3 linked regions of the Lepisosteus oculatus genome follow. The main gene of each other region encodes a partner of the protein of the gene in region 2 in a complex. Links are inferred from orthologs where the notes say so. Each region holds a gene or a part of one and is shown on either strand. Other genes may lie near its edges. The genes, in order: bcl2-associated agonist of cell death-like, bcl2l1 and tpt1.

The links.
Region 1: the proteins of bcl2l1 (region 2) and bcl2-associated agonist of cell death-like are in contact, whole or in part, in a crystal structure (PDB 2BZW), measured with the Mus musculus proteins. The link is inferred for Lepisosteus oculatus from reciprocal best matches to the Homo sapiens genes BCL2L1 and BAD. Residues at the interface, in NP_001276645.1 of Mus musculus: Ala93, Glu96, Phe97, Arg100, Tyr101, Arg103, Ala104, Phe105, Leu108, Gln111, Leu112, Gln121, Ser122, Gln125, Val126, Glu129, Leu130, Arg132, Asp133, Asn136, Trp137, Gly138, Arg139, Val141, Ala142, Phe146, Asp193, Leu194, Tyr195, Gly196; in NP_031548.1 of Mus musculus: Ala137, Leu141, Ala143, Ala144, Gln145, Tyr147, Gly148, Arg149, Leu151, Arg152, Met154, Ser155, Asp156, Glu157, Phe158, Glu159, Phe162, Lys163.
Region 3: the proteins of bcl2l1 (region 2) and tpt1 are in contact, whole or in part, in a crystal structure (PDB 4Z9V), measured with the Homo sapiens proteins. The link is inferred for Lepisosteus oculatus from reciprocal best matches to the Homo sapiens genes BCL2L1 and TPT1. Residues at the interface, in NP_001304848.1 of Homo sapiens: Ala93, Glu96, Phe97, Arg100, Tyr101, Ala104, Phe105, Leu108, Gln111, Ser122, Gln125, Val126, Glu129, Leu130, Asp133, Asn136, Gly138, Arg139, Val141, Ala142, Phe146, Leu194, Tyr195, Ala199, Ala200, Ser203; in NP_003286.1 of Homo sapiens: Phe14, Asp16, Ile17, Lys19, Ile20, Arg21, Ile23, Ala24, Asp25, Gly26, Leu27, Cys28, Leu29.

What each region holds. Positions count from the first base shown.
Region 1 is NC_090713.1:21,769,225-21,776,365, reverse strand, and holds the start of bcl2-associated agonist of cell death-like, read left to right. Parts: upstream 1-4,140; 5' UTR 4,141-4,272; intron 4,273-6,038; 5' UTR 6,039-6,046; coding exon 6,047-6,206; intron 6,207-7,141. UniProt on the Homo sapiens protein: Promotes cell death. Successfully competes for the binding to Bcl-X(L), Bcl-2 and Bcl-W, thereby affecting the level of heterodimerization of these proteins with BAX. Can reverse the death repressor activity of Bcl-X(L), but not that of Bcl-2.
Region 2 is NC_090711.1:3,270,887-3,278,402, reverse strand, and holds the start of bcl2l1 (bcl-2-like protein 1), read right to left. Parts: upstream 3,097-7,516; 5' UTR 2,963-3,096; intron 2,884-2,962; exon of another isoform or gene 2,746-2,883; intron 2,667-2,745; exon of another isoform or gene 2,511-2,666; intron 2,505-2,510; exon of another isoform or gene 2,358-2,504; intron 1,865-2,357; 5' UTR 1,741-1,864; intron 1-1,740. Other genes in the region: tpx2 (targeting protein for Xklp2), read left to right, coding at 6,120-6,228, 6,342-6,473, 6,594-6,720, 7,055-7,195. UniProt on the Homo sapiens protein: Potent inhibitor of cell death. Inhibits activation of caspases. Appears to regulate cell death by blocking the voltage-dependent anion channel (VDAC) by binding to it and preventing the release of the caspase activator, CYC1, from the mitochondrial membrane.
Region 3 is NC_090710.1:16,166,264-16,173,899, forward strand, and holds the start of tpt1 (translationally-controlled tumor protein homolog), read left to right. Parts: upstream 1-4,592; 5' UTR 4,593-4,675; coding exon 4,676-4,703; intron 4,704-5,173; exon of another isoform or gene 5,174-5,339; intron 5,340-5,382; coding exon 5,383-5,456; intron 5,457-6,019; coding exon 6,020-6,204; intron 6,205-7,636. Other genes in the region: kidney mitochondrial carrier protein 1, read right to left, coding at 2,562-2,602. UniProt on the Homo sapiens protein: Involved in calcium binding and microtubule stabilization. Acts as a negative regulator of TSC22D1-mediated apoptosis, via interaction with and destabilization of TSC22D1 protein.

The sequences.
Region 1 (7,141 bases), on a different chromosome or scaffold from region 2:
GAGGGGGGTTATTAGGAGGCCATGATTGGTTAGGGCCAATGGGAAATTTGGCCAGGACACTGGGGTAACACCCCTACTCTTTTCGAGAAGCACCCTGGGATTGTTAATGACCACAGAAAGTCAGGACCTCGGTTTTACATCTCATCCGAAGGACGGCGCCTGTTTACAGTCTAGTGTCCCCGTCACTATACTGGGCATTAGGACCCACACAGACCGCAGGGTGAGCGCCCCCTGCTGGCCCCACTCACACCTCTTCCAGCAGCAGCCTCAGCTTTCCCAGGAGTCTCCCCTCCAGGTACTGACCAAGCTCACACCTGCTGAGCTCCAGTGGGTTGCCAGTTGTGAGCTGCAGGGTGATATGGCTGCTAACTTATCTTCATTGAAGCCATGAACCGGGGAGCTGGAGTCTATCCCAGCAAGCAGCGGGCACAAGGCAGGGTACACCCTGGACGGGACGCCAGTCCATCACAGGACACACGCTGACACACTCACTCACCCTGGGCAGGACGCCCGTCCATCACGGGGCACACACACACCGGGGCCAGTTTTCCCAGAAGCCCATTCACCTCCCAAGCATGTCTCTGGACTGTGGGAGGAAACCGGAGCACCTGGAGGACCCGGAGGAAACACTCACACACACGGGCCACCGCCACGACCCGGAGCGGATCCGACCGCTCCGCAATGGGAATCGGGCTGGCGGCTGGAGGGAAGGCTTCGAAGCTGGATGGACACAGGGGTGGGTGTATTTTGGACTAAAAAACAGGAGACGCACCTCCGCAAGAGTCTGTGGGGGGGGGGGTTCGGGGTTCTGGTGCTGACCCGAACAGACCCGGCCGGACGGAGGCAGCACCTCTGTTGTGGAGCTCTCTGGCCCTGGTCCCACAGGGCCCGGCTGCAGTCGGCCCCACAGGTCACCACTGTCCAGGGCTGGGGGAAACCTGGGCTTCATCGAGCTGCTCATCAAAGTCAATTGTTCAATTGAGAGAACGCCGGTCGTGGAGGCCAGGGGGTGAAACGACTTAATTTGACCAATCGCCGGCCTCTCCGAGCAGGAAGAGACTGATGCAAGTTTTGGAAAACTGATGACTTAATGATGACATATAGAGCCAGCTGGATCAGGGCCCCTGTTATACAGAAAACCCTGGAGCTGATAAAACCTGGCCTGGAGTGGACTGGAGCTGGAGCCTCTTTTACGTACAGGAGCCCCCTGCAGCTGGTAAAACCCGGAGTGGATCAAACTGGAGCTGGAACTCTGCCAGACAGGAACCCTGCATGTTGTTAAACCTGGTTGGGATCGCACTGGACCTGGAGCCCCTAACATACAGGAACCCTACCGTACAGCTGTAGAGCCCTGTGTTTTCCAGAACAGGTTGTGTTGGTGAGGGACTGTGCGCCTGTCGGAGCAGTGATTAAAGTGTCAGGCACTTGACTGATCTCTTGAGCAAGCGCCAAGAGTCCATAAAGCACATATATCAAATGAAAGATTTAAAACGTGCACCCCTCCGACTTTAAAAACAAACGTGCATTTATGTGATTGAACGTCTCTTTAATGTATTGACTACTTAAGAACTTCTAATGGAAATAAATGCTCTAACTGGGCCAGTGCGCTCATTAAAGAGAGGAGGGCAGCTATTCCTCCGAGCTGTGATTTGGTATCGCAGGCCAGCGCTGGGATATCTGCTGAGTATCTGAATCCGGGAGAAAGAGAGATTCCCCCATCTGACAGCGACATCTTGTGGTCATGAGGGGAAATTCAATTAAAAAGAAAAACATTAAATATAGAGCACTAAGTCTCTGTACAAGAGGAGGCCATCAGCTTCGCATAAACAAGCAAATCCTGTTCCCAGGACTGGACGCTGGACAGCCCTGCTCTGGACACGCTGACCCTCCAGGACTAGACTCTGGACAGCCCTGCTCTAGACCCACTGACCTTCCAGGACCGGGGCTGGACACCCCTGCTGCAGACACACTGACCCCCTCCTGGACCAGGACTGGACAGCCCTGCTCTAGACACACTGACCCTCCAGGACTAGGACTGGACAGCCCTGATCTAGACACACTGACCCTCCAGGACTAGGACTGGACAGCCCTGCTGCAGACACACTGACCCCTCCTGGACCAGGACTGGACAGCCCTGCTCTAGACACACTGACCCTCCAGGACTAGGACTGGACAGCCCTGATCTAGACACACTGACCCTCCAGGACTAGGACTGGACAGCCCTGCTGCAGACACACTGACCCCTCCTGGACCAGGACTGGACACCCCTGCTGCAGACACACTGACCCCTCCTGTTCCCAGGACTGGACAGTGGACAGCCCTGCTCTGGACACGCTGACCCCCCAGGACTGGACTCTGGACAGCCCTGCTCTAGACCCACTGACCCTCCAGGACCGGGGCTGGACACCCCTGCTACAGACACACTGACCCCTCCAGGACTAGAACTGGACAGCCCTGCTCTAGACACACTGACCCCTCCTGGACCAGGACTGGACAGCCCTGCTCTAGACACACTGACCCCTCCTGGACCAGGACTGGACACCCCTGCTGCAGACACACTGACCCCTCCAGGACCAGGACTGGACAGCCCTGTTGCAGACACACTGACCCCTCCTGGACCAGGACTGGACAGCCCTGCTCTAACTGGTCCTGTAGTTGTACCCCATGGTGAAAACAGAGTCGCACTGTTCTGAGGGAATGTCTGAGCTGATCTGACAGAGGCCCTGGATGTCTGTGTTCAGGAACCACAAAGGCTGCCCAGCTGCTGTGGGGTTTGTTAGAAAACATTTCCACATGAGAATAAATTTCCAGGTATAAACACTCATGAAGCCTGTGCACACTGTGCAGAATTACAACACTATTCGCTTTCTGAACACAGGAGAGCCGGACCCTATCCCAGCAAGCAACAGGCACAAGGCAGGGTACACCCCGGACAGGACACCAGTCCATTACAGGACACACACACACTCACACCAGGGCCAGTTTTCCCAGCAGCCAATCCACCCCCCCCAGCATGTCTGTGGACTGTGGGAGGAGACCAGAGCACCTGGAGCCATGTGAACGCGGGGAGAACATGCAGACTCCACCCAGACAGCAGAATTGAACCCAGGGCCCCAGCGCTCACCACTGCACCGCCCTGATTACAACACCCTAATTAGAGCACGTTCAGCAAGAGACTGATCCATCCGCGGTGCGACAGGGGGCGCTACCGGAGGTCATTGTTGCCTTCTGCCATCAGACTGTACAACGCCTCCACTGTGTGTCTGGGCAGAGGCAACATCGACAGTGACCTGTTTCTGGACTGAGCAGCAAACTGATACATCTGTTCTTTTTTCTTTCCCGTTACAACCGTTTTTTGTGCAATATATGCCAGGAACCCGTGTAATACATTGATATTTTTATCTATATTTACATCTATATTTATAGTCATATTCTACAATACGATTTTTATGTGTACTGTTCTGTTCTGGTTTGTTCCTTGTGTATTCTGGACTGTGAGTAACTCTCCTTGGTGCACTTCTCACTGTACTGACTGTATTGTGTTATTATTATTGTATCATTCGTTACACTGTGGCTGTGAGGTCTGCGTTAAGCTGCTGTTCCCTCCCGGGATCAATCACGTATCTATCTATCATACAGCATACATCATACAGTATATAGGACGAGAGTCAAATCAAAACAGAGCTCAACCCAATACGCTGCGATGACAGGTTTTCATGACAAGATATTTGGAAACAGGACAATACGAGGGCTGGGAGCGAAGTACAGGCTGGACACTGTCCTAAAGCCCTCCGAGAGCAATCTCTGCAGAGCCACCGGTTTTCTAGATCCACCAGCGGGTGGGAAACTGCGATTGACGCGCACCAAGTGATGCAATATTTGGTCCGCAACAACACCTAGGAGCAGAAAATCGTCAGGAAGGGCGCAGCTCGGGCTGCAGACCTTGTGTGTCAAATATCCGAGCACCGGGTGTTGCTCGTGCAAAGGCCGGGGGGCCGGGCTGGATTTCGGGGTGCGCGGCGCCACGCGCCACTACGGCCCCTCGGCGCTGGTAAACAAGGCACGCGGCCCCGGCCTCGACCCGCAACAGTGACGTCAGGGCGGCGCGGCGCGGCGATTGGCGGGGGCCGGGGGCGGGCGAGCGGATTGGCTGGGCGAAGCGAAACCTGCGCCTTCGCGGAAGGGCTGGGGAGCAGCCGGACCCGACCTACTTCTGTTGACGCCGGAGAGCCCAAACAACGATCGCCCAGCAAGCAGCCGCAGCCGGTCCGGGTAAGGAGAACAGTTCTGCGTCGTGACTGAATTCGGGAGTGCAGGCGCCCATGATGAGGATTGCAGGCTTTTTTTTAGTGCTTTTTTTGAAAAAGCAAACGAAAGTTCAGCTGCGTGTCTCCAGGTTCCCAGCCAGAAGGTTGCTTTCCAGACCGGGAAGCTGTTAGGTAGCAAAGCCAAAGAGAACCGAAGCGGGCGCCTTCTGGGGGTACAAACTCCCCCCCATCACACCCCAGGGGGGTGGCTGGGGTCTGAGGGCGAGACCCTGCAGCGACCGGGCTGGGCTCTGCTCGCTCCGGGGCGCCCGTCTTTCCCAGCTCCTCTCCGGGAAAACTTCCTTTCTACCCGGAAGTCTCGAGGCGGCGGGCCGAACGTCCAGGGCACGAGCGTGTGGGTCTGAGCCCCGTATGTCACCGTTCTCACTGTGCGGTTGTACAGCGTGACACCGTGTGCGTGGCAGTGCCTGACTGTCGGTAACCGTGCGTGTGTGTGTCGGTGACTATAGTGCACATCAACACCTGTGTGTGTGTATCGGTGACTATAGTGCACATCAAGATGTGTGTGTATCGGTGACTATAGTGCACATCAAGATGTGTGTGTATCGGTGACTATAGTGCACATCAAGATGTGTGTGTGTATCGGTGATTATAGGACTATAGTGCACATTAATAGCTGTGTGTGTATCAGTGACTATTGTGCACATCAAGACCAGTGTGTGTGTCAGTGACTATAGTGCACATCAACACCTGTATGTGTATCGGTGACTATAGTGCACATCAAGATGTGTGTGTGTATCGGTGATTATAGGACTATAGTGCACATTAATAGCTGTGTGTGTATCAGTGACTATAGTGCACATCAAGACCAGTGTGTGTGTCAGTGACTATAGTGCACATCAAGACCAGTGTGTGTGTCAGTGACTATAGTGCACATCAACACCTGTGTGTGTATTGGTGACTATAGTGCACATCAAGACCTGTGTATCAGTAACTATAGTGCAAAACAAGACCTGTGTATCAGTAACTATAGTGCAAAACAAGATCTGTGTATCAGTAACTATAGTGCACATCAATACCTGTGAGTGTATCGGTGACTATAGTGCACATCAACACCTGTGTGTGTGTCAGTGACTATAGTGCACATCGATACCTGTGTGTGTGTATCGGTGACTATAATGCACATTAATACCTGTGTGTGTATCGGTGACTATAATGCACATTAATACCTGTGTGTGTATCAGTGACTATAGTGCACATCAAGACCTGTGTATCAGTGACTATAGTGCAAAACAAGACCTGTGTATCAGTGACTATAGTGCAAAACAAGACCTGTGTATCAGTGACTATAGTGCAAAACAAGACCTGTGTATCAGTGACTATAGTGCAAAACAAGACCTGTGTATCAGTGACTATAGTGCAAAACAAGACCTGTGTATCAGTGACTATAGTGCAAAACAAGACCTGTGTATCAGTGACTATAGTGCAAAACAAGACCTGTGTATCAGTAACAATAGTGCAAAACAAGACCTGTGTATCAGTAACTATAGTGCAAAACAAGACCTGTGTATCAGTGACTATAGTGCACATCAACACCTGTGACTATAGTCGGGGAACTGACTTAAAACACCATTCAAATATGATCCCAGGGTCCACTTTAATTGAATGACGTAAAATGGCCGTGTTTTTACGCTCCTGTGGTGCACTGTAGAAACGGAAAGGCCGAAGAGCCCCCCGCACTCACCTGCGTGCCCTCTCTCGCCTCTGCAGATGTCGCCATGACGCCCGTGTTCAGCCTCTCGGACGATTCGGGCCTCTCGGATGACGTCGCCGAGCCCGCCCAATCGGAGACCGCGGCGGGGAGAGGGCCCCGCCAGGAGGCGGGGCTCGGGCCCGCGCTGGGCCACGCCCACAGCAGCCCGGGGATCCGGCCTCCCGGTGAGTTGCGGACGACCCCCCCGCCGGCTGGCTGCGTGAGAGCAGTGCTCCCCAAATTCCGGGGTCACCGGGGCGCGCCAGTGACAGTACCGCTCTCGCGGTGATGTGACTCTTCAGTGGGACAAGGTGGACAGCGCTGGGAATGAAAATCCTCAAGGGGAACTGCAGCGCTATTTTTGTATTTCGCGGCTAGAAAGAATCGGCATCATTGAGTGCGTTTCAGACCGCGATGACAGTAAAACGCGCACACACGGTAACTTCCAAATGACATCACAAAACACGGGACATTTCCAGGTCTGCGCAGCGCCATGTTCTGGGATTCAGAACGAGGCAGCGATACTTCCAGCCCTGTGACACTGTGTACAAGCAGGCTTGTGAGTCCAGCTCTTCTCATCCAGTAGAAATTCTGCCCTTGTTAACTCTGCCATCAGATCACGCTGGAGCATTTCTACTGGTGAAAAGTCTGCTGTACAACCTGTACTTACTCCTACATCACAGTACATTAGTCATCACAGGGACTAGTAAGCAGAAAGGGCAGGCTCACATCTCAGTCCATTGGTCACCACAGTGACTAGTGAGCAGGAAGGGCTGGTTCACAGCTCTGTACATTAGTCATCACAGTGACTAGTGAGCAGGAAGGGCTGGTTCACAGCTCTGTACATTAGTCATCACAGTGACTAGTGAGCAGGAATGGCTGGTTCACAGCTCTGTACATCAGTCATCACAGTGACTAGTGAGCAGGAAGGGCCGCTTCACGTCACAATTTGTGGGAACCTGATGCGAATCTGCAACAACATGCTGACTCGCAGTACTTTCGCAAAGTTCCCGATTTTGTGCACAATTCGAAATTTGATTTTTTTTTTGTTTGAAATGGGGACCTCAGCTCCCCTTTAACACCTTCCAGGCCCCAGACTCCAGCGTCCCTTGAATTGCAC
Region 2 (7,516 bases):
CTCAAATTCATGCACTACCTTGTTCGAAACACGGCCACCAGGAAGCATTAAAAACAACTTGGCAACCAGAGTCTGTTTTTTTTCAAGCTCCAATATGGGGGCTCATTATAAGCTACAGGGTTGGTGTAGGGATCACACTAATTAAAGAATGAAAACAATCTGATGTCTGTTACTGTCTGACAGCGTTCATTAATTGTCCAGGACATGGCAGGAGAGTGTCTGACTGCTCTACACCACATCCTATCACAGCGCCACTGCTCATCTTCTCTGTGGCACCAAAACCCTTCAGAAATTAAACTGACAGGAATTCAATGAACTGCCCTGCAGGGAGAGATGACCACTGACATGGACAGACAGACAGGCAGACAGGCAGGGGTTTCTCAAGTGACCCCCGCAAAGACCAACTCAAAAGACCATATTGAGGCACAAATCAAGACGTACCCCCCACACCATCACCACCACCACACTCAGGGGCAGGCTGGGGAGGAGGGGTCAGAGGTCAGTGATGAACTCTCCAGTTACCTGACTCCTTGATTCCCCGATGCCAGCAAAGAGCTGCCAATGCCCCTGTCCAGAGCTGCTCAAGATGCTCAGATAAAGTACAAGTATTTCTGCTGCCTTGAACCACAGGGAACTGAGACATCACAAATTAAACCCCCAGCCAGGGAAACCTCTACAAACTAGGGTGTCTTCTTTCCCATTTCTAGTGTCTACTGTTTCTGTACACACGGACACGCAAAAATAAACATATTCACAGGCTGAACAATGTGAATAACACCAACATATGATATAATCACGCAGTTTGCCATTACCTAGTAATCTTACACACATAACATTCCCTCCATAACAAACAACACAGCCATTTATGTTTCTAAACAGGAATAAACGTTTTTCCGACGCATATAAATGTTCCTCGGTGTGACAAACACACATTAAGACTGAAATGATGATCAAAGCTGTTATTATTCTCCATGGCGCCTGACCTCATCCAGGTTATCAGAGGCGGCTAGCGAAAGGCCGGAGTATCTAAAACCTAACCTTTCCTATGTTAATCCTGGCATTTGGACTGGTATTTTACCGGCTACGATAACGACAACTTCCTCCACGACAGCTCATTTAAAAGCCCGATGTGAAGGGCCACGGCTCCCGAGACAGATTTACATAGAAATGCGCTATCACGGCCAGACGATCTTTGCCGGATTCCCCGGCCACATACAGTAGGTGTGACTGTGATTTGTGCGGTACCGTCTGCAGATAAATGAGACAAAAGACAGGCTCGACATTTCAGACAGGAGAAGGCTGACATTTAGGGATCCTAGGGTTCGCCTACCGGTCTCCCCTGCGAGCTGCTCTTCCTACCGGAGCGAAACACCGACAAGCAGCCTACCCCACCACACACACACACAATCGGAAGCAATCGCTAACTATTTTATTTACTCAAACACGCCCTGAAAAGGATCAACACCAGTGTCGGGGCTCACAGCGCACGCCGCAGCCAGACAAGAACGCCGTTTGCTTTCTGAAAACCTGCTGGAGAGCACTTTTTTTGGGGGCTCATCGGGAAAAATAAAAATCCAAGCAGAAAATAAAACCAGCACGCATCTCGCAATCCACTGCCGAACTACGGATGCTCCTCGGCGTCGGCGTTTCAATGCCTCGCAAATGGAGCAAGCGAAACATTCTCCATCAAGCCCAGCCCAAGGCTACGACGGACCTGAAAAGGTTCGGGGTGACACTCACCTCGGCAAATGAAAGTCCTGCTCGGTAGCAGCCCTGCGTTGTTTGCCTTGGTGGCAATACCGCTGGCTCGTCCCTATCCAGTCAATTGAGCTGGGCTTCCTGAGTCACTGCACGCTGTCAAACCCTGCAGCACAGGAGCAAAGCAGAACCTATTAGCCAATGCACGGCGCACACGGCCCCGCCCCCTCGCCGATGAAAGGGGGCGGGGGCAATTACGTCCTTCCTACCGTAATTGCACAGTTAGAGGCGCGCACCCGCACGCATGAGGCACAATTACGTCAATAAAACTATACATCTTTGTAAATCGATACGACACATTGCTCAAAGCAAAAAAAAACCGCGACGGTTACGAGTGCATATGAACTGTACATAACATAGTACATAGTTTAGTTTTCCAACAATTAAACGACTGCACTGGCCTATTTTTAAGGCGGACCAACCCAGGTGAGTAATCCATTTTAGGAGACAGTGCACCAATCACACACCACTAACCACTGTAACCCACATTAAAGTGGTTAATGACTACCCGCAACGAATTAAAATCGGCCCTCCACGGTGAGCCGGAAAAAAAAAGTCCCATTCCCCGTTACTCTGTTGTTTTAAGATTCTCAATTTACCTTTGCAGAGTCAACATGATTATAAACCCGTGTGCAGAAGAGGCAGGGAGCCCATTTCTAATTAACCGTCAGCACCAACGTAGTCCAGCCACACACAAACCACCTCTGATTGAAGAAGACCACAATTTAGCACTCGCACATAGCACTACCTACCCCATTCGTTTGAGTACCCTTCATAAATCATGGTCGCTTAACACTAATCAATAATACGGACTAGGATCCGACATTTTACTCATTTCCACAACCCCACTCGAGATCCAGAGGCCAGCCCGAGCCTCTTTGCGCACTACAATTTTCCTTCTGCAGGATATTCCGCCTTTGGGATGTAAAATGACACTTTTTAGACCAACCCTGCTCGAGTAACGACGGGACGTCATGCTTTTTTTACCTCGGTCTTGTGCACACTGGCTTGCAATTTGTAATGCACGTTTTCGGGAAAAAAAAAAAAGAAATCCCGCATTTACACAACGTTATCCTTCTTATGTCGCAGCAGTGTTTTCGTTAGCTAATCAAGGCAGGTCCCTTAACCAACCCCTGCAAAGCACAGTAAGCGTGTTCAATATGGTTACAGTCACGACGTCTGAAATAATGTATTTAAATCTGACCTGATTAAAGAACAGGAAGAGGTTGTAACGCCCTCGTCCGGACTGGTTTTCATCTTTAAACCAACACGGGGTGAAAAACGATGAAACGCTTTAAAATATCTCTATGGTAACGTTTGTTTCCTCTAGTGACGAACCACGCTTCTCCCACTCCCCCGTTTTGTTAAAGACACAGCGCCTCACCGTGGCCGCTGGGGGGAGGTACCACTGCAGGCAGTGAATACTGCCACTTCGCCCCAAAATAGATAGATACTTTATTGATCCCGTGAGGGAAATTGCAGTGCAACAGCAGCTTAACACACACACAACACAGCCACAGTGTAACGAATTATATAATAATAGTACAATACATACAATACAATACAAGAGTTACTCACAGTCCGGACACACAAAGAACAGACTAGAACAGAACAGTACACAGAAAAATCGTATCACACATATGAATATAAATATAGATGTAAATATAGATATAGATATAAATCTAGATATAAATACGTCCCTCTAATCCGTACAGATCCTGAAAATAACCATAGTCACAAGTCACGATATTTCAGATACGTCCTAAGTGATGGGTGACGAATCTTGATAAAAACAGTAGCGAATTAACACTTGTGTTCGGTTTTTTTCATCCTATAGTTAACTTTTATCTATCTGCTGAACTCTAAAACTGTACAAAGGTTAAAGTAGCGTGCGATGTAACCACATGTTTATAAAATCGGGTTCGTATTCAGCATAACACAATATAAGACAGGATGTCCTACAATGCAAAACAATACGAGATGACGAAAATACACCCGGGTCGTCCTTGATTGTTTTCACATTAAATGTGTCTGTTACACCAGAGATCTTTTCATAAAGCACCAGAGAACAGCACGAATTCCTTTCCTGTATTTGGTGAATTTGCATTAAACTAGCAAGCCAGCCGAGCAAGATTTACCGAATAGCCTCCTCTTGTGCCTCGTTTAAACTGTCTGCTTGGAATCTCTGATTCTCATGCTCTGACATGTTCTCTGAAACGGCTTTCTTCTTGGCTTTTAAGAGCGAGGGGCAATACATACGATTGCTGGACAGACACAATCTCTTCTGAGCTGTCCGATCTTAAAACGGTCAGGGGGTACGTGTATATATATGTGTGTGTGTGTGTGCAGTTGAGTATGTATTTGACATGACCGCATGAGAACATTTACAAACGAGAAGAGCCTATTGGATATTTAATAGCACACTGATCCAAGCATGCCATCGTCTTGAGGCTTCAACAATATGGCTGGGTAGCCCGTTCCACGATCTTACGAACCGCTGTGTTTTAAGTAGTTCCCCCTGCTCTCAGTTTTAAATGCACTTTCACCATAGCGTACACTTTTGTCCCCTGAATCGGGTTTTTTAAATGTTCATTCTGAAGTAGTTCGCTGGGTTGACTTTTTCATTTACAGCCTTTAGGATTCCTAATCCGTGCGTCAGGTTCGCCCTTAGTATGTGCTCTGTTCAAGACAGAAAGGAGGGCGGGACTCTCAGCCCCTCAGTGAAGGATATTATTTTAATCCTCGCAATATACTGTATAACACTATTGGTGAAGAACTGCACTAGATTCGACTTCCCAATTTTGTTCCCTTCTATATATTTTCCCTGAAATTCGAAGAAGGCTGCACGTTGCGTGTTTTCTTCTACTTTCCACTGTGGAATGAACAATCTGCTTGTTCTTTTCTAAAATGTAAATCGAGCATATGAATCTAGAGGTTTTGAAGCCGACACTCCACAGTTCTGCTCTTATCTTGCTCGCCCATCAATACAATTTCGTATAACTCGTTAGAAAGGGTTGGACAAGCTTTTCTCAAGTATCGACAAACTGGCCTACATGTCTTATATAGCTGATTTATGTAGATTTTAGATCCCCCCTTAATTCCACATCCTGCACGTTTGACCCAAACCCTTCCACGAAATGGTTATCAACACATCATCTTGACGCTCCCTAAATTTTTACGTCGGTAGTACGTGGCATGAAAAGACTACATTTCCCATGAGCGCTCAAGCCTACCCGAACGATTTCGGCCTCATCACCAATAGAAATGCGCCGAGGCTGCGAGTCGCCTGCTGATTGGCCAGTTTGGAAAGGGACGGATTTCAAATGATAACGGCGCTAGGGGCGGTGTTAGCAGACAGACATTTTCTGCAGAGCAAGTAAAGTAAGGACGGGGGAGAGTTATAACTTTTCTTTAAATACAGTGGATTTCTTACTCATCAGGGAAGAAACTTTGGAACAGGTATGTAATCGTGCATTTAAAATACACGTCTTTTATGTGAGTTGACGTACCTTGCTGGTTTTGTGGCTGAAATGAGTAGTTAGGGCTACTTTGTTGTTTGGCCTAGACGCCGAGCTGTGTCGGACCCGACCAGTATTGTTTGGGTTTTTTTTTTTGCTGGGGGTGTCGGGTGGATTGTTTCTATACAGTTATGTAATCTCTTGGGGGTGGAAAAATACTGCTGAAGTATTGAAAAAGAAAGGATTCTGCGTAGGAATAGGTTCACCTTAACGACAGCATCTCGATTTGCTTCAGTCAGCGTCGTCGTCTAAGGCGGACATCGCCTTTTTTCATATGCTATACCCAAGTAAATAGGATAGGACATAAATAACGCTTCATGCAGGTATATGTGTTTTTTTTTTCCTGCCCGTGATCGCTTCAAACTAGACCCCCCTCTTTCTGATCGGACTCTTAAGCGTGTAGGAGGAATCTTTAGCTCAAACATGGGTTGTTAGGTAAGCCCGGATGGGCTTCCACCTTGATTTTTTTTTTAAAAAAAGAAGTCACCCCAAAAATTCAGTCAGGTGAAAGGAGAGAGCAAAACGTACTTGGTGTGGTCTGGGCGTCGGGAGGCGGTTCGGTCAAAACTTTGAAATTGCGCGTCTCCAATCCGCTGGCAGTGAGTCTGTCCCTCCACCGGAAGAAGGACTTTTCCCATCTGCAAAGTGAGCACCCCCCCCCCTTAAATATTTATAAATACATACTATAATATTCCAGGGATACGACTGGATAGTGTATACCGCTGTAGGGATAAAAATCAGTCGGGAAAAGAAGGCAGGTGCTGCACTCGGGATGTAAGGTTTTATCGATTTTAAAACTTTTTCCCCCCCAGTAGGGACAGAGGAGCTCGGCACGGCGGAGAGATGGACATGCAGCAGGAGGTGTCGATGGCCGATTATGAGTTTGACGCGCCTTCGGTCGTGATTGATTTCAAGTCCCTGGACAGGGAGGACAATGCAGATCACTGGTTCGGTAAGACCGTCTCGGGCTTTTCGCGTTTTTTACACCCTCCTCTTTCTTTGTAAGCTGGTTATATCTGGGCTTGCCTGCCTTTTGTTGTCTGAAACATCTGTTATTGCTTTCAGACCAGATAGCTGAGCCAGAGTCCAAGACGATGGATTTGCATACCACTCCGTTTAAGGCTAAGGGAGAAGCAAAGACCGATGTGCCCAAAGCCTTTGTTTTACCCATGGTGCACGATGCCAATCGCGGGACAGGCAAGCATGTTTATTTGTCACTACCATAACATCCTTAAGTGAAAGCAAGGTCGTTTTCCTCTTGGTTAAAGCAACTTCAGGGCAAGCTATTCCAGCTTTCTGGGTGATGTCCCCTTTCAGAGTGCGGCGCCGAAGGAGAGAAACCGTCTGCTCCTGCTGTTTCTTCAAACTTGGTGACCTCCTGGAGCCACTGGCCATCTACAGACAACCAGCCTCAGAGAAAGGCTCTTCCAGCACAGCCCAGGAGGTAGGAGGAGCCTCTGTCAGACAGTCTTACATGCTGGAATTAAAAATGGGATGGGGGGAGAAATGCACAGTCTTGTCCTGTTCTGTTGGACTGTGCTTTCCGGTTTTGGAAATTGCTGATCTGAGTGCCACTTCGTTCACCCGTGGCATGGATCTCCCCAAGAGCTGGTGAATTTTTACTTGGCGGATAGCTTCTCAGAGTTCCACATGGTGTGAAATTACAGATCACTGTGCACTGTCCACCAAGGGCGGGGGGAAAAAAAACCCTCTGAATTCAGGAAAACACTTTTTAACTTTCTTGTTGGCGTTGACTGCTCTGTCCCTCACCCGTTTAGAGTTTCTAAAAGATTGTCCGGCCATCAGAAGATGGAAAACCAGCGGAAGCAAATGGCCAAAATTCGTGAGGAAAAGAGGAGGAGTGCAGCAGCCACTGTTCCTCATGCAGGAGACCCTCCTGTTAAAAAACTAAGAAAAAGGTAATCTCAAAGGAACTCGACGATGCCTGGATTTTCTTTTTTTGTTGTTGATCTGTGCCGTACAGCATGTAGCAGTAATTGAACTTTGAGTTCTAGCAAACAATGTTTTCATGTATAAAATCTCATTACTGACAACAGGTATTAATATAATGTTATGAAACTGGTAAAAATCAGCAATTGACCGAGCAGTTTAGTGAGTAAGTGAAATTATTATTCATAACCCCCAACTTGTACGTGATTTCTAATGATATTCCCAAGTGGCTGGCATAACCAGAGGCACGTGAATGCTGTATTCTCTATCACAGCTTTGTTGAGAGGAGT
Region 3 (7,636 bases), on a different chromosome or scaffold from region 2:
TACCAGCCTGGTGCACAAGCAATTTAAGATTTCTCATGCAACTGGAAAACAAGTACCTATCGAATGTGGAGCTACAGTACAACCACATACCATTCACTCTCCTTCACCTTTCAAACAAGTCTTTTCAAGTTCCCCCTTCCCCCAGTCGGCCATTACGAAGAATTACGAAGAAAAGCAGTGCGTGCAAAAGCAACAACATGAAAAGATGTGAAACACTAAACAGCAGATATAAACCACTACTTTAAAAATCAGATCATGGGCGGCACAGAGGAAAGCACATGAAAAGCCAATGCAGAATTTTGGAAACTACATGACCTTCTGTGTCCTCTGCCACAAATAAGTATTAATGTGCCCTCCAGAGTCCAACAGAGGACAAGAGATTTTATTTGTCTTCACTGTAATCCCTAGTAGACACTGACAAGACTCTCTTCTTTCACTGGCCACTGGAAACTAAGTGAGGCTAAAGCCCTTGAAGTCCGAACATTATACATATGTGGGTTTCTCTGAACACACAGTTAACTTTAATGATTGCACAGATCTTACTGTAAATGGAATGTGCCCTAAATTTAAGCAGCAGTTTAATTGTACCCAAATTTATCAGCAAGGATCACACATTCACAGCTGCTTTCCTAATTATACAGACAAAATATATGTCTGCCATCACTCTTCATCTTTATATACTACTGTATATTGACCGTGGAGACACTGGGCTGTTGTCACATTTGGGCAACTTCCTCTGTGTGGTCCAATTTAAAAACGACACCATTGAGTCCTAACATGTAAAAGTATTAGAAAAAAAGCAGAAACAATAGCCTCCCGCTCAATCTTTTTGATGTTTCCAGACACTTAAAATAATACATATTACCTTAAACTAATCATATTAATAATTTTATCTTAACAATTTAAAAAAAACATGTTTTGCATTGCACTGATACCTACGCCTTTATGGGTTGGGGATTTGCCGTTTCTTACAAAAGCTTTCTGAAAATGGAAATATTAACATGGAATAAAAAGAAATTAAGCTTCGCATTTCAATTAATGCACAAAAAAGCAATATGTTTTTAGCTCCATCCATACCAAAGCGTCCACGAATTGTGGGCTATGCCTTTTAGGGTCTAATAAAAAAAAAAAGTTCCATATTATCACACTTACATAAATAGTAAAAACGAGTCTTTGAGCAGAGAAACTGCGTAGCACTTTTAGGATTGTATCATACCTGGAACTTATATCCCCCAAAATTTCAACACGATTGCTGCATTCATTAAACAGCTTGTTTATACCGTCTTTCGTTGAAGTTGAAAAATAAACACTTCCTGTAAATGTTTTGATGCTGAACAACGCACGCGATACAAAACTACCTCAAATGCAGAACAGTAATACGGGATAAAAACTACTTAGCAAGAGAATATAGGAGAACAGCGGATATAGAAAAGCTACTTACTTGCAATGCAGGAGCTTGCTTTAAAAACCGTGTTTCTCGCCGAAATCGACTGATCCGTCCACGTTCCTTCACTCCGAGAAATACGAAAATTCAATAAAGGCACTGACGAGTTATGGCAGAAATAATGAACCATACACGTGTCGTTTATTCGAAACGCTTAAAAGCCCTTGCTGCGGTTTGGTTCTACTTAAGTCTGCGTGAAAAGCAAGGCTTAATTGTTTTCATGCGTTCACCTTCAAGCACATCTTATGGTCTTTTCGAGCTAACGGATCGGATTAAGGAAGAGACAAGTTAATTTCACTCGTGGTGCGGTGGCATCATACGCGCTTCTTCCGTCAAGTTCTCACAAATGACATCCAGACCCTCTGCAACAAACCCGCCCAGTAGTTCTGCTCACACACCCCCATCCGCTCAGACCGACAGCCCTTCCCTTTCACAACGAAGTAAATCGATGTCACATAGTAAGGTGCTGCCTTTTGAGTTTTAATTATTATAATTTTAATATTATACTTATGATAATAAACCGTAGTTTACAGATCGTTGTTTAGGAAAAGTAAACGGAACACGGTATTGTTTTGTACGCCGGTTACAGCCCCTTTTCAACAAAATACGCCATCCCTTTTCCAGTTTGCAGGCAAAGGATACACGGATTCCTCCTTCTGTCACACCGCTTTACCAATGCTGCCATCAGCTTTGTCCACCCCGTCCTAGTCACCTCTCTCAGAGAACATTATTGCCGTCTGCGGGCCCGCCAAGCTCATCACCCTACACTTCAAATTCATGTAAGGCCAAGGCACTCGTACAACTGGCCAACTTAATGAAAAACTGTTCTTCTTTCCGATTTCTGGCAATGTAGTCAAGGTAGTTGTTTGGCGTGGTGAGGATCCTCGTTATCCTGATGACACAGAGGGTTTCCACTCGAAAGTTATTCTACTGAGCGGTGCCCAACATCGAACAACACAATGCTTCTCTGTTGCTTAGTATTTCCAAAGAAAATGTACACTCAAGGACCAGCAGAAGGCACTATCAAGCAGGCACAATAGCGTAAATATACAAATAAATTAAATAATGACTGAGTCAGTTGAGTTAAGGTAATTGTAAGACACTTTCAGACACGTACCCCGTAATTTCCACTGGCTCCACTGTCTGCAAACACGTCATCAAGTCGACTACAACAAACCCCTCAAACGTGCTCTACAGCTGCAGCAGAAGCCTTCGGGCTCTCGGTGTATCTGGTTTTGACCGTAGTTTCAGAGCCAGAGCAGGGAAAACAGACATGGACAAGTGACTTATTATGCAAATCATGCCACAACAAGTGAAACAGTGAAACGACTGAAAGTGGACAATTATCCCTTTAAGAATGTGTATAACTTAGTAGACGATTGTATGATATTTTAGAGTGTGCACTCATCGTACGATTGGTATACATTGTGGAATAAAGTTTATTTTGTTAAACAAAATCGGGGTCTGACCGATTCTCACTGACTTGCTCGCGGTTTCACCCATTTTGTGACGGGTATGAATCGGGTTCTGTAGGCTAGGCTTTGCAATTATCAGAGCGGTACTTGAGAAAAACAAAAGTTTGACATGCATACAACACGGGAGCACTTTTGTCTTTAAAACTGCCTCTGAGAGTTTGCGCTTGACTCCTGTACAGGAGACCATGGCAAGCCATGCTATTTTATGGGCCTTAATTTTAGTCAGTCTGTTCGATTGTTTATTTCAATATTATTTGGTGCGAAAACGGCAAGAGATTTGTTTTTTTTTACATACTTTACAAGTACATACTTTTCAAAATAGTTAAGTGAAGCCTTCAGGTGGTAGGATTTGCCAAATGCGCGCAAAGCAGCAAACAGGTTATGCAGGTCTGCGTTTTTAAAGTACCGTCTGTCCTCTTAACTGCTTTAGCCAGTACAGGGTGGAGCCGGAGCCTTATCCCGGCAAGCAAGAGACGCAAGGCAAGATATCACCCTGTACAAACACGCACGTACACCAATGTTAGTTTCCCCAGAAGACAATTAACTTACCAGTATGTCTGTGAACTGTGGGGGGAAATCGGAGTAAACCCACATGAACAAGAGGAGAACATGCAAACTCCTCATAGACAGCACCCCAGGAGCTGAACCCAGGGCTGCGAGGAAGCAATGCTTACCACTGTGCCTAATTAGGATTGTGTTTTTGTACAGAAGAAAACATAAAAAATGATACCATTTAGGGCTTGTCAGGCATCATGCACATAAAAGAAACGAAACAATGAGCATAACACATAGGCAGCGATTAACACTATAGGCTACACAATAACTATTCTAACTATATTCAGCATAACTGGACTACATGTATATATTGCATACACCATGGACACATAACAGCTCTGCTCACATTGAGTTCTATTCAATTTTAAAAATGTAACCTCAATTTTGTGATTTTTATGTTTTTGTGAATTTTTGTGATTTATGTGAGCTCGCAGAAAAAGACATTTCATTGCCAGCATCTACTGCTGCACGCCGTATTGTTGTGCGTTTGATAAATAAACTTTGATTTGATTTGATTTATCACAAAAGGTCACCCGAATATCGGTACTTTGCACGGTACCTGCAAAATGAAAGCCATAATGTCACAGGTAATTACCTAAAACAAACATCTTTCCCTTTTAATTTAACCTAGACCGTTATTAACGATCGATTTTTGTATGGGTTTGGTCAATACATAAGGGCTTGATATTTAGAAGTAAAAAGGAGACACCGAGCTCATGGGCGGAGTGGGAACACCACTTCGAAAAATCATCCACAATTTTTACCGTAATAGCATGATAGTGTTAGAGCTTTACAGACCGATTAATTTAAGGTGGTCAGTATTAAGAACGAGAATCGCTCGATTTGAGCACTTCTCGAAATGTTGCATAAAGTATTGTAATGCTAATAAAAATGTGGTTATGCAAACCAGGTTTCAGAAATCCGCTCCAGACTTGGATCTTATTTTGCCGATTAAAAAAAAAAGTTTGTTGGTTCTTCGCTTCGCACTTCAAAGACCGTAGAAGACAAGCGATACATTTTAACCCCTCTATATTACCGCCAGGGGGCAAATTTGTTTCAAAGCTTGTGGCTCAATGACGTCAACGATGCTGCCAGTATCTAAGCTGGGAAAAAAAGTATATCGCTCCTTTTCAGCCAGATCCGCTAGTGGGGAGAGCAGGAGCCATATTTGAATCAAACCCTTAAAACACAATCCAGCAGAATGATCATCTACAAGGATATCATCACCGGTAAGAAAGCGATGTATTCAGAAGAAGCAGTTTTTAAGATTTAGATTTTGTGTCTATTTCTTACCGTGGAAAGAATTAATTCGTAATATTTCACTTTTTTATGCCCGTGTTTTACGAGGCCTAGTAGCGTAGGCCCCGGCTTGATACTGAACTCGCAGGATGCTGATTGACCATGGTTTTGTTCTTTTTCGTTTGAAAATATTGTCGTGTTATAGGTTTTTAACCAGTCCCGCTAAAGAAAGACAAAAGCAAGTGATTTAATACGATTTCTTAGCTAAGCGGTATTAACGACAAGTAAACTTCGGGGGCCGGTTTGTACCCCCCCTATAAAGGCTTTATTCATGAAATTCCATTAGTATTTTACTTGTACGTGGCAGACTGAAATATTACTCAATCGAATAGTGAAATCGGTTGCTTTAGTATCTTATTCGTTGTAAAGTAATTCAAAACGCGAAGGAAATTTTTATTACCTTTTGCCCCCAGTTGGGACGCATTTTACGCTTTAAGAGGGGCCGAAGTATTGATGCTTTTGTTTGTCGGAATGTGGCGGGACCTCTTCTAGAAATATTCAGGCGGGGTGTGAAAATAGCGGAGCTCAGTGGCATCCCGCTCTAGAGCCGGGAAGTTCAGTGAGGGCTGCTGGAAGTCGGATTCACGTCACCAATTTTCTTTCCTGCAGGAGATGAGATGTTCTCTGACATCTACAAAATCATGGAGTCGCCCAACGGAATCTTAATCGAAGTCGAAGGCAAGGTAAGGGGTTTTCGCAAGAGGCCGAGGTGTGCAGAAACTGTGGGGCTGGGTGTGGGGGGTGAATCAGCCTTGTTCACTGCGAGTGTGTTTAGTGGGGCGCTTCTCTGACGTGATCGTGACGAACGAGGGAACGTTTCCGGGTTGAATGGGAGCTTTAGAAATCGGCAGATGCTTTGATTTCCACACACACACAAAGAGTGCGGTGTTAAAAAATAAAGTAAATCGTTTCAGGCTTCTAGGTTATAGTGAAGTAATGGGAAATGGAAGCACAGCTTCCATTCTGAAATAACTGAATGCTCCAGATGTGGATTTATAGCTACTAGTCATCCTTTCACTTTTTCCTTTCAATGAAGAGCTTGTATGACTGAAAGGATTCCAACTCTGTTCTGTAGCTGCTGAGGTCAGTGGGAGAGAGTGAAATTTAAGAGAGAGGAGGGAGGCCGGCATGCCAAGTGAGCAGCCTAGGTTGAAGCTGTGGCCTTTGAGAGCCCCGCGTGAGATGGGCGTCTGCATAGAGTTTGAGTGGCTCCTGTAGACCCCCCGGCTTTTGTTCTTTGTTTTAGGTGGTCAGCAGGTCAGAGGACATTGACGACTCTCTCATCGGCGGCAATGCGTCAGCTGAACTCCAGGATGAAGGCACAGAAGCCAGCACCGTCAGCGGCGTGGACATCGTCTTGAACCACAAGCTGCAGGAGACGGGCTTCACCAAGGACACGTACAAGTCATACATCAAAGACTACATGAAGACGTGAGTGAGCGCGGGGGACCGGATCGCCGCCTTCGGCTGGCTGCATCGCTTGACAGGCCCAAAGCCTTGGGAAAGTGGCTTGAAGGGTTTTTTGTGTCGATGCAAGAGCAATTTCCTCGCGCTTTCTGTGCATCTTTGTCCGTAGCTGCTCAGATTGAAGAGAGGAAGACACGCTTTTTTTCCCCTTTTGATAAGAATTATTTTTGTCCCTTATTGGGGGGAAAAGCCAGACATTTTAACTGTCCATTCACAAAGCGTTTGCATTCATCTGGCTTTGAACAGAAGAACCCTTTAAGATCATAATGTAGTTTCGTGTTTTGGGAAGTAGCTGTTTGTATAACTTTATATGTTATACTGAAATTCTGATGTAGTAAAAGATTTCAGGTGCTGTGAGGGGTATTTGGACTGTTTTTAGAAGACAGTGGAAGTATAGATTTTCAAGTTGTCATGGTGTTGTGGTATTGGAGTAAAATGGACAGCTGGAGAACATATATAAAAGTACCGTTAATGTGTTAAATTCAATAACTTCCAAAGATTGTGGTTGAGGCTGGAAGACCAGATGGTATTATCCTGAAGTACTGTAAATAGAAGGTAAATTGAATATATTTGGAGACCGCTGTTAACCTACCTTATGTTGAAACCTGAGAACTGAAAAGATTTTTCAAAGGTCATTTAGATGCTCCCAGATATGGTTAAAGAATTGCACATTTCCAGATCCAAGCAGAAGGCAGAACAGGACAATGTTTTGTCTTAAATACATAAACACCTGAATCCCTAGATTTCAGATGATGAAATGGAGACTTGCAGTAAAAAAGTCCTTGATATGTGCTGGAGCCAGATCATTTAAACCCATTTTGGTTATTGTCTTAATCCTAATCAGCTAACCAGTGCTGGGAAGCAAATACAGGAATAGTACTTTTAGCTGACTCAGACTTGAGCTATTGACAGACTGAATGTCTGTAATGTCACGCTGCAGTGTTCTCATTAATTTTCTAGATGCTGTATCGCATAGACCACATCAGATAGACTGGTTTTCATAATAAAAATTATTACTGGTATTTTTGAAAAAACCTCTGCCTTAAGACTAATCTTGAATTTATAGATGCTTTGTTCACTAAACTTCATGTACATTATTTATGCAGACAATGTGGAGGAGTAGTAATACAATCCCATGCTACTGTTTAATGTAAATGCTGACGCTTCCATAATTAATATCTAACCAATCGTTAAACGGTAGGCATGGCAAATGCAGTATTAGATTTAGCCTGGAAGAGTAGTTGGATGTTGTCAACATTAAAAACTGATTCCTTAAGAATTGGTGATCTGGCTTGAGGATAACCTATGAATACTAGTTTATAAACAGCTGGAATCGACCGAGCTTACTTGAAGGCACCCAATGGAATCAACTGCTCTTCCAGATAGGACCTTACCC